Linked DNA regions of Caenorhabditis elegans. The protein of the gene in region 1 binds, or shares a complex with, the protein of each later gene. Each region holds a gene or a part of one and is shown in the gene's direction. Other genes may lie near its edges. The genes, in order: zwl-1, czw-1 and rod-1.

Region 1 (3,754 bases):
GTAATAATCCCGAAACTAATCGTTTTCAAGCCGATTTTTAGCGAAATTATTGACTTTTTTTCGATAAAAATAGGATTTTTGATGAATTTTTAAGTTAAAATGCCTAAATTATTTGGCTTTTAGAAAATATAAATTTTCAGGCTTATTTCTAAGGAAAAACCGATTTTTGAATAAAAATCCCGAAACTATCAGCTTTTTTCCATAAAATATGAATTTTCCAGGAAAACGCCTCACCTCGGACGTGAAACTTTTGTAATGTTGATTGAGATCTGCTGGCCGTGGAACTGCACACTCGTAGGCGTACGTTGTGATGGCTTTTGCCACTTCTGCCGAGCAATTTGGCTCTCCCCACTCTTTCAGCGTATCTGTGTTGTACGACCCGCTCCACTGAAATTAAATAGTTAATTAATTAATTTTTGCAAATTTTGCGGATTTTGGTTTAAAAAAATCCAAGAAAAGGAAGAAAAAACACGAATTTTTCATTTTTATTCGATTTTTTCCGCCTTTTTTGGATTTTATAAACGCCAAAAAAAAGCTATTTTTTCCGGTTTTTTTGGATTTTTAAACGCCAAAAAAAAGTTATTTTTTCCGCCTTTTTTGGATTTTATAAACGCCAAAAAAGCTCACATTCGAAGCAAATGGCTTGGCGACACGATTAAAACTCTTCGTCAGAGCCGCAATTTCACTAATTGACGGAGTATTTTGGTCCCAGCCCTTCGGGAAAGCGACCACCAATTGTTTAACTAGGGAGCACACGCTGAAAATGGAAAAATGATCAGAAATTAATTATATATATATATATATATTTATAAATCGATTTTTTCTCACCCTTTAATCATTTGAAAGACAACGGGATACATGTGAGCTCTATTACCCGGCAGACGAAGCGTCTTTCCTTGATAAAAAATCGAGTGAAGCACTAATAATTCGCCGTTTCCTACGTCGACTACGTCTACCGAAGAACTTCTCCGTTCTTCTTTGATTCTCATTGCAGCAGCCGGCTCTTCCGCTGTCCTTGATGGTGATTCTGCAATTTTTCTTTGATTTTTTTGAATTTTTTATCTTAATTTTCTCACCATCCCTCGCGCCGGCGTCTGCCTCCGACATCCTGCTGAAAAATGGATTTTTTAAAAATTATAATGTGTTATTAATTAATTTTCATTAATTTCTTTGATTTTAAAACAAAAATTGAGAAAAAATCCAATCAGAAAGTCTTTTTTATTGGAAAAATTGGTGGGTCGATAAGGAGTGCAGTGGGGCGCGCTTGCAGAGTACGCAAAAGTACGTGGAAGTGTTTGCACAGGAAGTGCACTTAAGTGGCGCGAAAACAAAACAATTTACTTTATTTTTCTCATTTTTTCACAGATTTTCTTAATTTTTTGGGTTTTTTTATTCGGAAAAAAAGAGAAAAATGCAAGATAAATGTAAATTTTTCATTAAAAAATCACTAAAAACGGATAAAACTGTAAAATTATGAGTTCCGACGACAACAAGCCGGAAATTAAATTGTTATTAATTTATTTTATTTTTCTCCTTATTTCACTGATTTTCTTCATTATTTGTGTATTTTCATCGCAAAAAGAGAGAAAAATGCAAGATAAATGTGAATTTTTCATTAAAAAATCACTGAAAATAGCTAATTTCCGGCTTGTTGTCGTCGGAACTCATAATATTACAGTTTTACCCATTTTCAGTGATTTTTCAATGAAAAATTCACATTTATCTCGCATTTTTCTCTCTTTTTGCCGATGAAAATACACAAATAATGAAGAAAATCAGTGAAAAAATGTTTTTTTTCACGTTTTTTCAGAAAATTCTCTTCTTTTTTTTTTCAAAATTTCATTTCCCAGAAAATGCCACTCACCATCGAGCAGCTCAAGCAATATAATGAAAAAATGGCCGCAAAAGGCGAAGAGGACGACGCCCCGGCACCGGTTCTCCTGGTAATTTTCCCCCAAAATTCTAGAATTCTTCGTTTGAAGGGGGAGTGGGGTTTGTGGGTATTTTGCTTAAATAGACTAAAACTGGTCCAAAACCACCGAATTTCATAACGAGACTTCACAAAAAATTTCCAAAACATTTTTATGGCGGGCCAAAATTTCGAAAAAAGAGCCAAATTTTGCTAAAATCCGAAATTTCGCATACTTTTCTTTGTCTCACAGCCGCTTGATTTTAGTTTTTCTGAAATTATCACCCTTTAATTCTTCTTTTGGTAATTTATGTCGCGGAAATTCGTTGATTGAGAAAACTTTTAGGCCGATAGGCATCCAAAAATGATCAAAATTGGATGCCTACTCAACTTTTAAGCCTATCGGCTTAAAAGTTGTCTCAATCAACGAATTTTCGCGAGATAAATTACCAAAATAAGGATTAAAGGGTGATAACTTTAGAAAAATTAAAATTCAGCGGTTGTGACAAAGAAAAGTGTGCGAAATTTCAGATTTTAGCAAAATTTGGCTTTATTTTTTCGAAATTTTATTAACCCGCCATAAAAAAGTTTTGGAAATTTTTTGTGAAGTCTCATTATGAAATTCGGTGGTTTTGGTCCAGTTTTAGTCTATTTGAGTAAAATACCCACAAACTCTACTCCCCCTTTAACTCAAATTTTAAAATTTCAAAATCTAAATTTTTCAGCTCGACAAGTACCGTGTCCGCGTGCTCCCGCTCACGTCGATTCCCTTCGTGATGAATCATTCGAGCGTTTCCCAGCTTTCTCTGAGCTCTGAAGATGTTCTTGTCGTTGATTTTCCATCCAAGGGAACAGGATCAGGAGCAGGAAAAGCGGAGAAAAAGATGATTTTCAAAAAGAAAATTGAGCCAATGGAAGATAGTTTTGAGGATAAAGAAAATGTGAATGAAGGTGGACCACTTATGACGTCATTTCTCACTTTGGAAAAATTGAGAAAAGGAATGGGTAGGTTGAAAATGCTGTTTTTATGCTGAAAAACCCCCAGATTTTACAGTTGGCGACGTGGAAATCATTGGATACGAGTGTGAAACCAGCTTCTTTGATGCAAATCCAATTCCACTCTCGGACGGGGTGTCTCTTCAGAGATAGTAATAAATTTATGTTTTCTGGAGTAGCGCCAGCGGAGAAATTGCTTTGAAACATTCCTATGAGGTCACAAGGACCGAATATCATGATAAAAAAATTCAAAAAAATTTTCTAGATTTTATATGATTTTTTGAAAATTGAAAAAATCTCAGTTTTCCCCCTAATTCCGCTTTGAATTTCCGCCAATTGGATTCGTTCGGTGGAGCGCACTTGCATTATTTTTATTTATTTATTTTATTTATTCTCGTTATTTCACCGATTTTCTTCATTTTCTATGTTTGTTCCTCGGAAAATGAAAGAAATAAACAAGAAAAATGCAAAATTTTTATTAAAAAGTAACTGAAAATGCATAAAACTCTGAAAATATGCGATCCGACGACGACAAGCCTGAAACTAGTATATTTCACAGTTTTACTCATTTTCAATTACTTTTTAACAAACATTTTGCATTTGTCTTGTTCATTTCTTCCATTTTCCGAGGAAAAAACATAGAAAATGAAGAAAATCGGTCAAATAACGAGAATAAATAAAGTTAATTAATAAAAATAATGCAAGTGCGCTCCACCGAACAAATCCAATTGGCGGAAATTCGAACTGAGATTTTTGCAATTTTCAAAAAAAAATCATATAAAATCTAGAAAATTTTTTTGCATTTTTTAATCATATATATATCATGATAAAAAAATTTTTCTAAATTTT
Region 2 (3,754 bases), on another chromosome or scaffold:
AATATGTACCTGTTGGAGGTTTAACCGAGGTATTTGCTGATGAATTGAAGTTGAAGGGTGGCGGGTCCATCACCTGTAAAATTTTTATTTATGTCAGAAAAGATGCTTCTAAATAAAATGCGCATTTGAATAAATTTAAAAAATAACGTCTTCAGTGAAAAAACAAAAAACTTCGAATTTTCCTCCGGTAGCCTCCGTCTCTCAGTTTTGTGAGACCCGAAGAACTCGGGGGATGTCCAACTGGGGGGATTCCCAACTCGGGGGATTGGCCACGCCCACAGAACCGTGCCTTACAATACGCCCATTTCTGCAACCTCCGCACGGTTTTGAATGGTGATTTTCTTCATTGTTTTTTGGGGGAGAAAAATCAATTTCAACTCTAAAAAGTTCAATTTGAATTGTTTTTTTCGGTTTTTGAGTCGTTTTCGCGGAATAAAAGTAAAATATTTCAAAAAAATCGATTTTTCGCAGTGAAACAACAATTCACACGGAAAGGCGACGCGTAAAAATCGATTATTTGCAAGGAAAGAACAATTTACACGTGAGGAGACGAAGTGAAGAACGTAGAACGAGTTCTATTTAAAAAATTCGAATAAGATAACCTGAAAAATTGTGATGAAATGTTTTTCAGAGCCGAAGGAAATTGTTCAATGAAATTATTGTACAAATTGGTTTGCAAGCTATTCATTGAACATTAAGAGCGATATTTTATTGATCATGATAATTATTTACAGATAAGGATAATATTACATTTAATGAATTACATAATTTCAACAAAAAAACAATAATTTGTCATGAAAACGGAAGAATTTGGAGGATGAGCAGCTCGGGCGGATCTGAAAAATTTAAATTAGAACTTTCATAATGACATCGCTGATATATAAATGAAAAAAGATTTTATCTGGTCTATTATCAGATTCGCTTAGTTTTTAGAGGCTTTTGGCTTAAATGAATGCAATTACAAAATTCTACACAATTCAATTGAGAAGTCTACGGTTTGGAGTCTTAACGTTCACAGAGACGTACAATCGAAAAGAACTGATCGCCCGCCACTATACAGAAATTCCGACTTCAAAAGAGCAGTGACAGCAAATTATAGCTGTTTCAACGATTTCAATGCCTCTATAAGTCCATATATGTTCGATCCGAAGATATTTCATTAATTTTTTGTTAAACTATTTCAATTTTTGTTCTTAAATCAATTTTTTCCTACTTTCTACAATTTGAGAATATAATACTCACGTGGGTGGCCTGGAGAAGCACATCCCTGTTTCATCCGTGCAATTTCCCTCGATTCGACGAAGTCTAGAAATTAAAAAAATTGATAAAATATGAGAGGGAAAGAGATTAACAAAAGGAATACACGAATTAAGGAGGGCGAATTAACAAGTCACGGTTGAAAAATACTTTTTTTTGCGAAAATGGCTGAAAAAAACGAAGAAAAACAATTCAAATTGAACTTTTTAGAGTCGAAATTGATTTTTCTCCCCCAAAAAACAATGAAGAAAATCATCATTCAAAACCGTGCGGAGGTTGCAGAAATGGGCGTATTGTAAGGCACGGTTCTGTGGGCGTGGCCAATCCCCCGAGTTGGGAATCCCCCCAGTTGGACATCCCCCGAGTTCTTCGGGTCTCAGTTTTGTTCAGTCTCTCGTTGTCTGCATGTCCGAAGTACGCAAACACGGATGTACACCGTACATTGGCGCCAATAATCATAATTATGCGCGCGTGGAACGAAGTTTGATTTCGATTTCAAATCATTTTACAAACTTTTGTTTTTATCGTTCAAAGGATTTTAAAATCGATTTTCAACGCGTTGCAACGTAATAATTATACGTAATAAGATCTTATTCTTCATAGAAACGTTATTGTTTTTATTCACGCGGCGCTCTTTTTTCAAAAAGTAAGCAATCACGAATGCTGAATTCTCAATTAAACATTTTTTAAATTGACTCTTTCCCCAGTCACTTGCCTGCAACTCATCTCCCGTTATTAATTTTCATCTCTGTGAACGCGTGAGTAACATTTTTCTGCTAAAGTGAGCGCACCGGTGTCTCGTTGTCGTTTTTATGTTTTCTATTTGCGGGAAATTTAAATGCTCTTGTCTTCATGTATTTGTTAGTTAATAATTCCGTAGAACATTTTCTTTTTCAGGCTGTGAAACTTAAAAAATGGCGTCATCCGAGGGATCCTATAGAGATCTTGAGAAAAAACTGAAAAATGGACTTACTTCAATCTCGCAGGACATTGTGGACAAGTATGGAAACCTGAAAGTGTCACTCAATGTTAACGCGACAGCCAAGCTTATTTTCGACCGACTTGAGAACCTCGAGGATATAGCTGAAATGTCTACTCGAAATCTGTCTAACTTAATTGATCAGACAGCAAAGGACAGCCCCGAAATGCTCGCAGAGATTAAATCCCAAGCTCAAAGCTGCGAAAATCTGGTGGAATTCCTGCAATCGGTAATGGTTCGAAAATAAGCATATAAAACAATTGAGTTTTCAGATGAAAAATGTCGAAGAACAATTGATAATTATGCGGAGTAAAACAACGAATCGTGTAGAATGGGGAACTGCTATTCTTGCTTGTAAAGATTTTCTCAATGACACAAACATGCTGCTTGAAGGAATTGGACGAGACGGTTTCGACATGAGTGTTCCATTGAAGCATTTTGCCGCAGAATATTCGGTTTTAAGCTACAATTGTCGTTACCAATTGTCCGCTGACTACGAAAGAGCAATGAATGTTCCAAAACTGTCAAAACAGAAATGTGGAGATCGTACAAATGTTTCTTTCTCAGTATTCAATGTTGGAAGCGTGGAAGATCAGAAAATGCTGAACGAAACTCTAAGTGCTATGAATATGATTGGACAATTACCAGAACGACTGGACGCTTGGAAAATCGTTATCTTGAACGTGTTCTGTGAAGCGATTGTTGCTAGCCGCGATGGTGTTGACGTATATATTGTGGATAATCCAACACCTGATCAGACAAGATTCTTGATAAACCAAAAACCACGTGGCAAGAAGGACAAGACTATTGATGTCGCAAAAGTTCTCGAGTGAGCGAAAACCACTTTAAAATTCTGAAATTTAATTAAATATGGTTGTTTCAGGTCAATGGAAGTGTTTTTTACGAAGTTGCACTCCGTTCTTCATTCTCACGAACTGCTGGACGCGACTGGAAAGACTTTCACGTCGATGATCGGAAGCGTTATTGAGGAACAACTGATAACTATGATACTGAAAGATGTAATTGCGATTGCAGCACCCGTCACTGAAACTGCTGACGAAGATCAGGAGATGTTCATTAATTTGTTGCAAATTGGAGAGGTCTTTGTCGAAAGAATGAAGGAGCTCGGATTCTTTTCTCAGAAAGCAAAGTTGCTGTTCACTCTTGACACGGACACAATTTTTGTGACTCGTCGTTGCTTTGCGATCGTTTCAAAAGCGAATAAATTGATAAATGAAACGTATGACAAACTGGTTACAGTTGGAGTTGATGATTCAGCCATCAAGGATATTGATTTGCTTGCAAAGGCTCATACACATGCCGAACATTTTGCTAAAGAATATGGAAAAGATCTTGGACGTCTTTGGAGCCATAATGAAGATTCGCAGTTTCCATCATTCTTCGCTTTCCAGAAATGTACAGTCAGGTAATTTTTTAAAGTGTTTATTATTTTTTTCTAAAAAATAATTTTCAGTGAATCAACTATCAACTTTGTCAATCTTCTCCGTGATAACGTGA
Region 3 (3,754 bases), on another chromosome or scaffold:
TCCGTTCTTCTCAAGTGCCCGAACACCTTCAATCGTTGTACCGCCAGGGGAGCAAACCATATCTTTGAGGGATCCAAAGTGCTGAGTTTCAATATCAAATCCAGAGTTCGAATTGAGCACCATTTGAGCTGCTCCGAGTACTGCTTGAGCAGCTAATCTTTTAGCCTCTGCTCGTCCGAGCCCTTGTGCGACGGCTCCATCTGCCAGTGATTCGATGTACATAAATGTCCATGCAGGACTACTCCCTCCAATAGCCATTGCCGGGTTAAAGCATCTTTCTGGGATAAGTTCGACAGTTCCAACACACTCGGCGAACTCGCGTGCCAATTCGATGTGAGAATCTTGATTCATAATTTTTTCATTCTTTTCATAGCACATCGTCGAGGCGCCGGCTCCAATAGAACTTGCTACATTTGGCATCAAACGAACAATGGTAGTGTTTCCCGAAACGAATGGCAACTGGAAAAATGTTATGTACAGCAAATTATGATTTCTAAAATTATTTTATAACTGCTTATAGTAATCACCTTCGCGTTGAGAACTTTTAATGGAACTCCAGCCATTACAGAAATAATAAATTCTGGTCTTGAGTTTACAGGCCAGCTTGACACAACTTCTTCGAAAACTTGAGGTTTCACACAAATCACATAGATTGCCGTCGAATATCTTTCCAGCATTTCCAGTGTGTTTGTGAAAACGTTTTTATATCCTAGTTGCCTCCATTTCTCAGCCGATTTTTCCGTTTGAACGCCAATTACAATATTGCTTTTCGGTGTAAAGCCTAAAAATTAGAAAACAATTTAATTCAAATCAACGAGGAGAACAATTTTTTAACTCACCTTTATTCTGGCATCCTTTTATAATTGCAGCGGCCATATTTCCACCTCCGATGAACACGAATGGCACAGACTCTGAGGACCCGTTTGTCAATTCAGTATCGATAGTCATGGTTTTGACTGAAATCAATAATAATTGTTTTTGACACAACAAAAAGCAACATATTAAAAAAAAAAGAAGAAGACATGAGCAGAGGTTTGCCCGCTTAACGAGATTCTGTTTCTCAACTGCGTCTCTGTGCGTTTAACATATAACTGGGTTCTATTTTATGTCTCTTGTTAGACGTCTAGACGTCTAAGTCTCCATTTATATAAAAGTTACAATAAGATATATTATGGTACATGCTGGGATCATTTTAGTACCGAAATTGACATGAAAAACTAGTATTCTATAAAAATTTGTATCTTAAAACCGTGAAAGGCACAGAAAGTCACCTAGATGATTATTTTGTCATCATTCCAGAGGCCGTATAGATAATAAAATATATTTGTCATCGGTTCAGTTTTGTCATCCTGCTCTGGAAAATAATTCAAAACGTTCAAACCACGAACAAAACAGTAGGAACAGGTGAAACACAGAAAATAAACACTTCAAAATTTCTTTAAAAAATGTAAAATTATTTTATTTATGATAAAAACTTGAAACATCTGAGCAGATACGGTAGACATATTAAAGGCGCATGCTGAATATTGGAGATGGGTTTTGGGACGAAAAACTACGGTCTTTTTTCGCCTGCCCGCGCAAATTTTAGGCGCGAATTTCTCTATATTTACACGAATCTTAATTCTTTTGGATATCATTTTAATTTTCAGTTATTTTCTCGCCTCATCCTAATAAATCGTTTCAGACTATTTATTTTTGATAAATATAGTGAAATTTCTGAATTTAAAGAAGTTTTCCGGTCTAAAATTACGTTTAAAAAAGCTGTATAGTTAGGAACACGTAATTTCCACGTTTCGATCAATTTTTACTGAATGTGTTAATTGTTTTTCATTATTTAATTTTTGTTCAACACAGTTAAAGGTAAGGAAATGTATGAGATTTGAAACGCTTTTCGTGTTTAGTTATTGGTTTTTTGCTTCAAAATTCAACTATTTGGTTCAAAAAAGTCTTGTTTCTCTCACTCTAACACTTGGAAATTGCGCCCTGCTGACACTTATTTCGGCGGCGAAAAACATTTTTTGAAATGAAATTGTTCACTCATTTTTATAATCGTTCTTCTGTTAAATTTTTTAATTAGAGATACCAGTGTATTATAATGTCGTATTTGCAGAATGGGTCGCCTAGGCGAAGCAAAAGCTGTGGACTTGGAAGCGGAAACGTCGACTGTGGGCCTTTATGATGTGTGCACCGTTGGGCGAATCCTTCCCCGTAAGAAAATAAAACTATTATCTTTATGATTAATGTAATTAAATGTATGTTTCAGTGTTAAATGAGATGTCAATCGATAAGAAATCTCCGGCATGGAAGCTCAAACCGAAAAGTAACGAGCGATTTCTTGTTCTTGCGTCGTGCTCCGATCTGGCAGTCTTCAGTCTTGGCGAGAAAAGCGACTACTCGTTCAACACCGGACTTGGAGGTATGAGCTATTTCAGAGTCTCTGGAATGATTTCTCAACATTTTCAGGAGCCATCACTGATTTCGAAATCCTTGGAAGTTCTTCCTTCTTTGTTGGAGTCATTGAACATCGTCGTATTGTAATTCTCTCGCTGGATAAACAAGAAATTTACTTGAACGAGCCAGCTCCTCATGAAATTGACTTCGTTGTCTGTCACACTACTTCCAGTGTTTGCCAATTGATTTTCGGGAGCCGATCTGATAATTGGCATACTATCACATTGCCAGGAGACGTGGCTGCATCTAAGGAGACTAACCGTTTCGAAAATTGGCACAGAGATCAGATTCAGGAATTTTTCCACCAGGTAACGCTCATCACATTCATTTAAAGTTTCAAATTAATTTTAATACTCTCTTTTCAGGCAATGGGAAAAACGGTTTCAAAGTCTGTTGACATGTCGAAGGTCGCAGGTGACATTACTCTGATCTCCAATGGGCCACTTCAGACGTTCGCTTCAATTGATCAGCAAAGAGGGATTCACTGGTGTGGTCTCGTCGAATCGGAGTTTGAGGTGATTGGCATGGAAAAACAATTCTTGCAAGTCCGTGATGGAGGTAGATTCTCTCTTCACCTCGACACGGATGGATGGATTCATGTCTTTGATTCATTGGTATCATCCTTCTGCCACGAATTTGACATGAAGATGTCTCCAGACGACAAAATTCTTGATTTTGTGATCATTGACAAGAATGAAGTTGAAGTTCCGAAGATGTTCGCAATTTTGGTTCTGCCACGTGACGGAGATAGCACAAAGGTATTTGAATCGTATTTGTTAAATTTTAATAATTTCTTTTTAGATGATGATATACGATCGATTGAATAAAGACAATTGTTTCGCTTTGGATTCATCCACGTCTACAACTCTTTTTGCTTATGGAGGAAGTGATCGTGTCTTGATAGCCGTTGAAGAATTGGAAAATTCTCTGGCAGACGAACAGGACGGCAGTCAAATTGTTGTCAGACAAGTCTCACAGTCTCGCCCTGAAATGCGTTTCGAATCTCTTCTGAAGAATAACAGATTTGAAGAAGCTGAGAAGTTCGCCATGGCATTCATGCTGGATGTACAAAAGGTTTACAAAGGACACGTACATTATCTGATGGACTCTTGTGATGAAAGCGATGAATCTTTTGAGACTCTGATGACGAAGATGGGACAAATTCAAGATCATAATATGGTTGCTGAAACATACTTCACTCTTGTTGGAATGAGTCGGCGCTGTGATCGTATCCGCACCTACTTGACTCATGCAAAGAAGCGCAGAATAACGGATCTGGATATTCTGAAAATGATTGAGGCAC

What was found.
Region 2: zwl-1 (region 1) and czw-1 share a complex: the UniProt entries of both Caenorhabditis elegans proteins name them as parts of the RZZ complex.
Region 3: zwl-1 (region 1) and rod-1 share a complex: the UniProt entries of both Caenorhabditis elegans proteins name them as parts of the RZZ complex.

The regions. Positions count from the first base shown.
Region 1 is NC_003279.8:2,400,382-2,404,135, forward strand, and holds the start of zwl-1 (Protein zwilch homolog), read left to right. Parts: upstream 1-1,850; 5' UTR 1,851-1,853; coding exon 1,854-1,943; intron 1,944-2,634; coding exon 2,635-2,914; intron 2,915-2,963; coding exon 2,964-3,057; intron 3,058-3,754. Other genes in the region: dot-1.1 (Histone-lysine N-methyltransferase, H3 lysine-79 specific), read right to left, coding at 235-387, 628-757, 829-1,027, 1,077-1,107. UniProt on the Caenorhabditis elegans protein: Essential component of the mitotic checkpoint, which prevents cells from prematurely exiting mitosis. Required for chromosome segregation, the assembly of the dynein-dynactin and mdf-1-mdf-2 complexes onto kinetochores and spindle pole separation.
Region 2 is NC_003282.8:7,944,993-7,948,746, reverse strand, and holds the start of czw-1 (Centromere/kinetochore protein zw10 homolog), read left to right. Parts: upstream 1-2,154; 5' UTR 2,155-2,171; coding exon 2,172-2,465; intron 2,466-2,508; coding exon 2,509-3,065; intron 3,066-3,119; coding exon 3,120-3,662; intron 3,663-3,710; coding exon 3,711-3,754. Other genes in the region: mcm-3AP (PCI domain-containing protein), read right to left, coding at 10-70; F20D12.12 (uncharacterized protein), read right to left, coding at 793-836, 1,243-1,276. UniProt on the Caenorhabditis elegans protein: Essential component of the mitotic checkpoint, which prevents cells from prematurely exiting mitosis. Required for the assembly of the dynein-dynactin and mdf-1-mdf-2 complexes onto kinetochores.
Region 3 is NC_003282.8:7,476,342-7,480,095, forward strand, and holds the start of rod-1 (Kinetochore-associated protein rod-1), read left to right. Parts: upstream 1-2,110; 5' UTR 2,111-2,111; coding exon 2,112-2,208; intron 2,209-2,263; coding exon 2,264-2,416; intron 2,417-2,463; coding exon 2,464-2,759; intron 2,760-2,816; coding exon 2,817-3,209; intron 3,210-3,252; coding exon 3,253-3,754. Other genes in the region: pycr-4 (Putative pyrroline-5-carboxylate reductase 4), read right to left, coding at 1-459, 528-781, 840-948. UniProt on the Caenorhabditis elegans protein: Essential component of the mitotic checkpoint, which prevents cells from prematurely exiting mitosis. Required for chromosome segregation, the assembly of the dynein-dynactin and mdf-1-mdf-2 complexes onto kinetochores and spindle pole separation.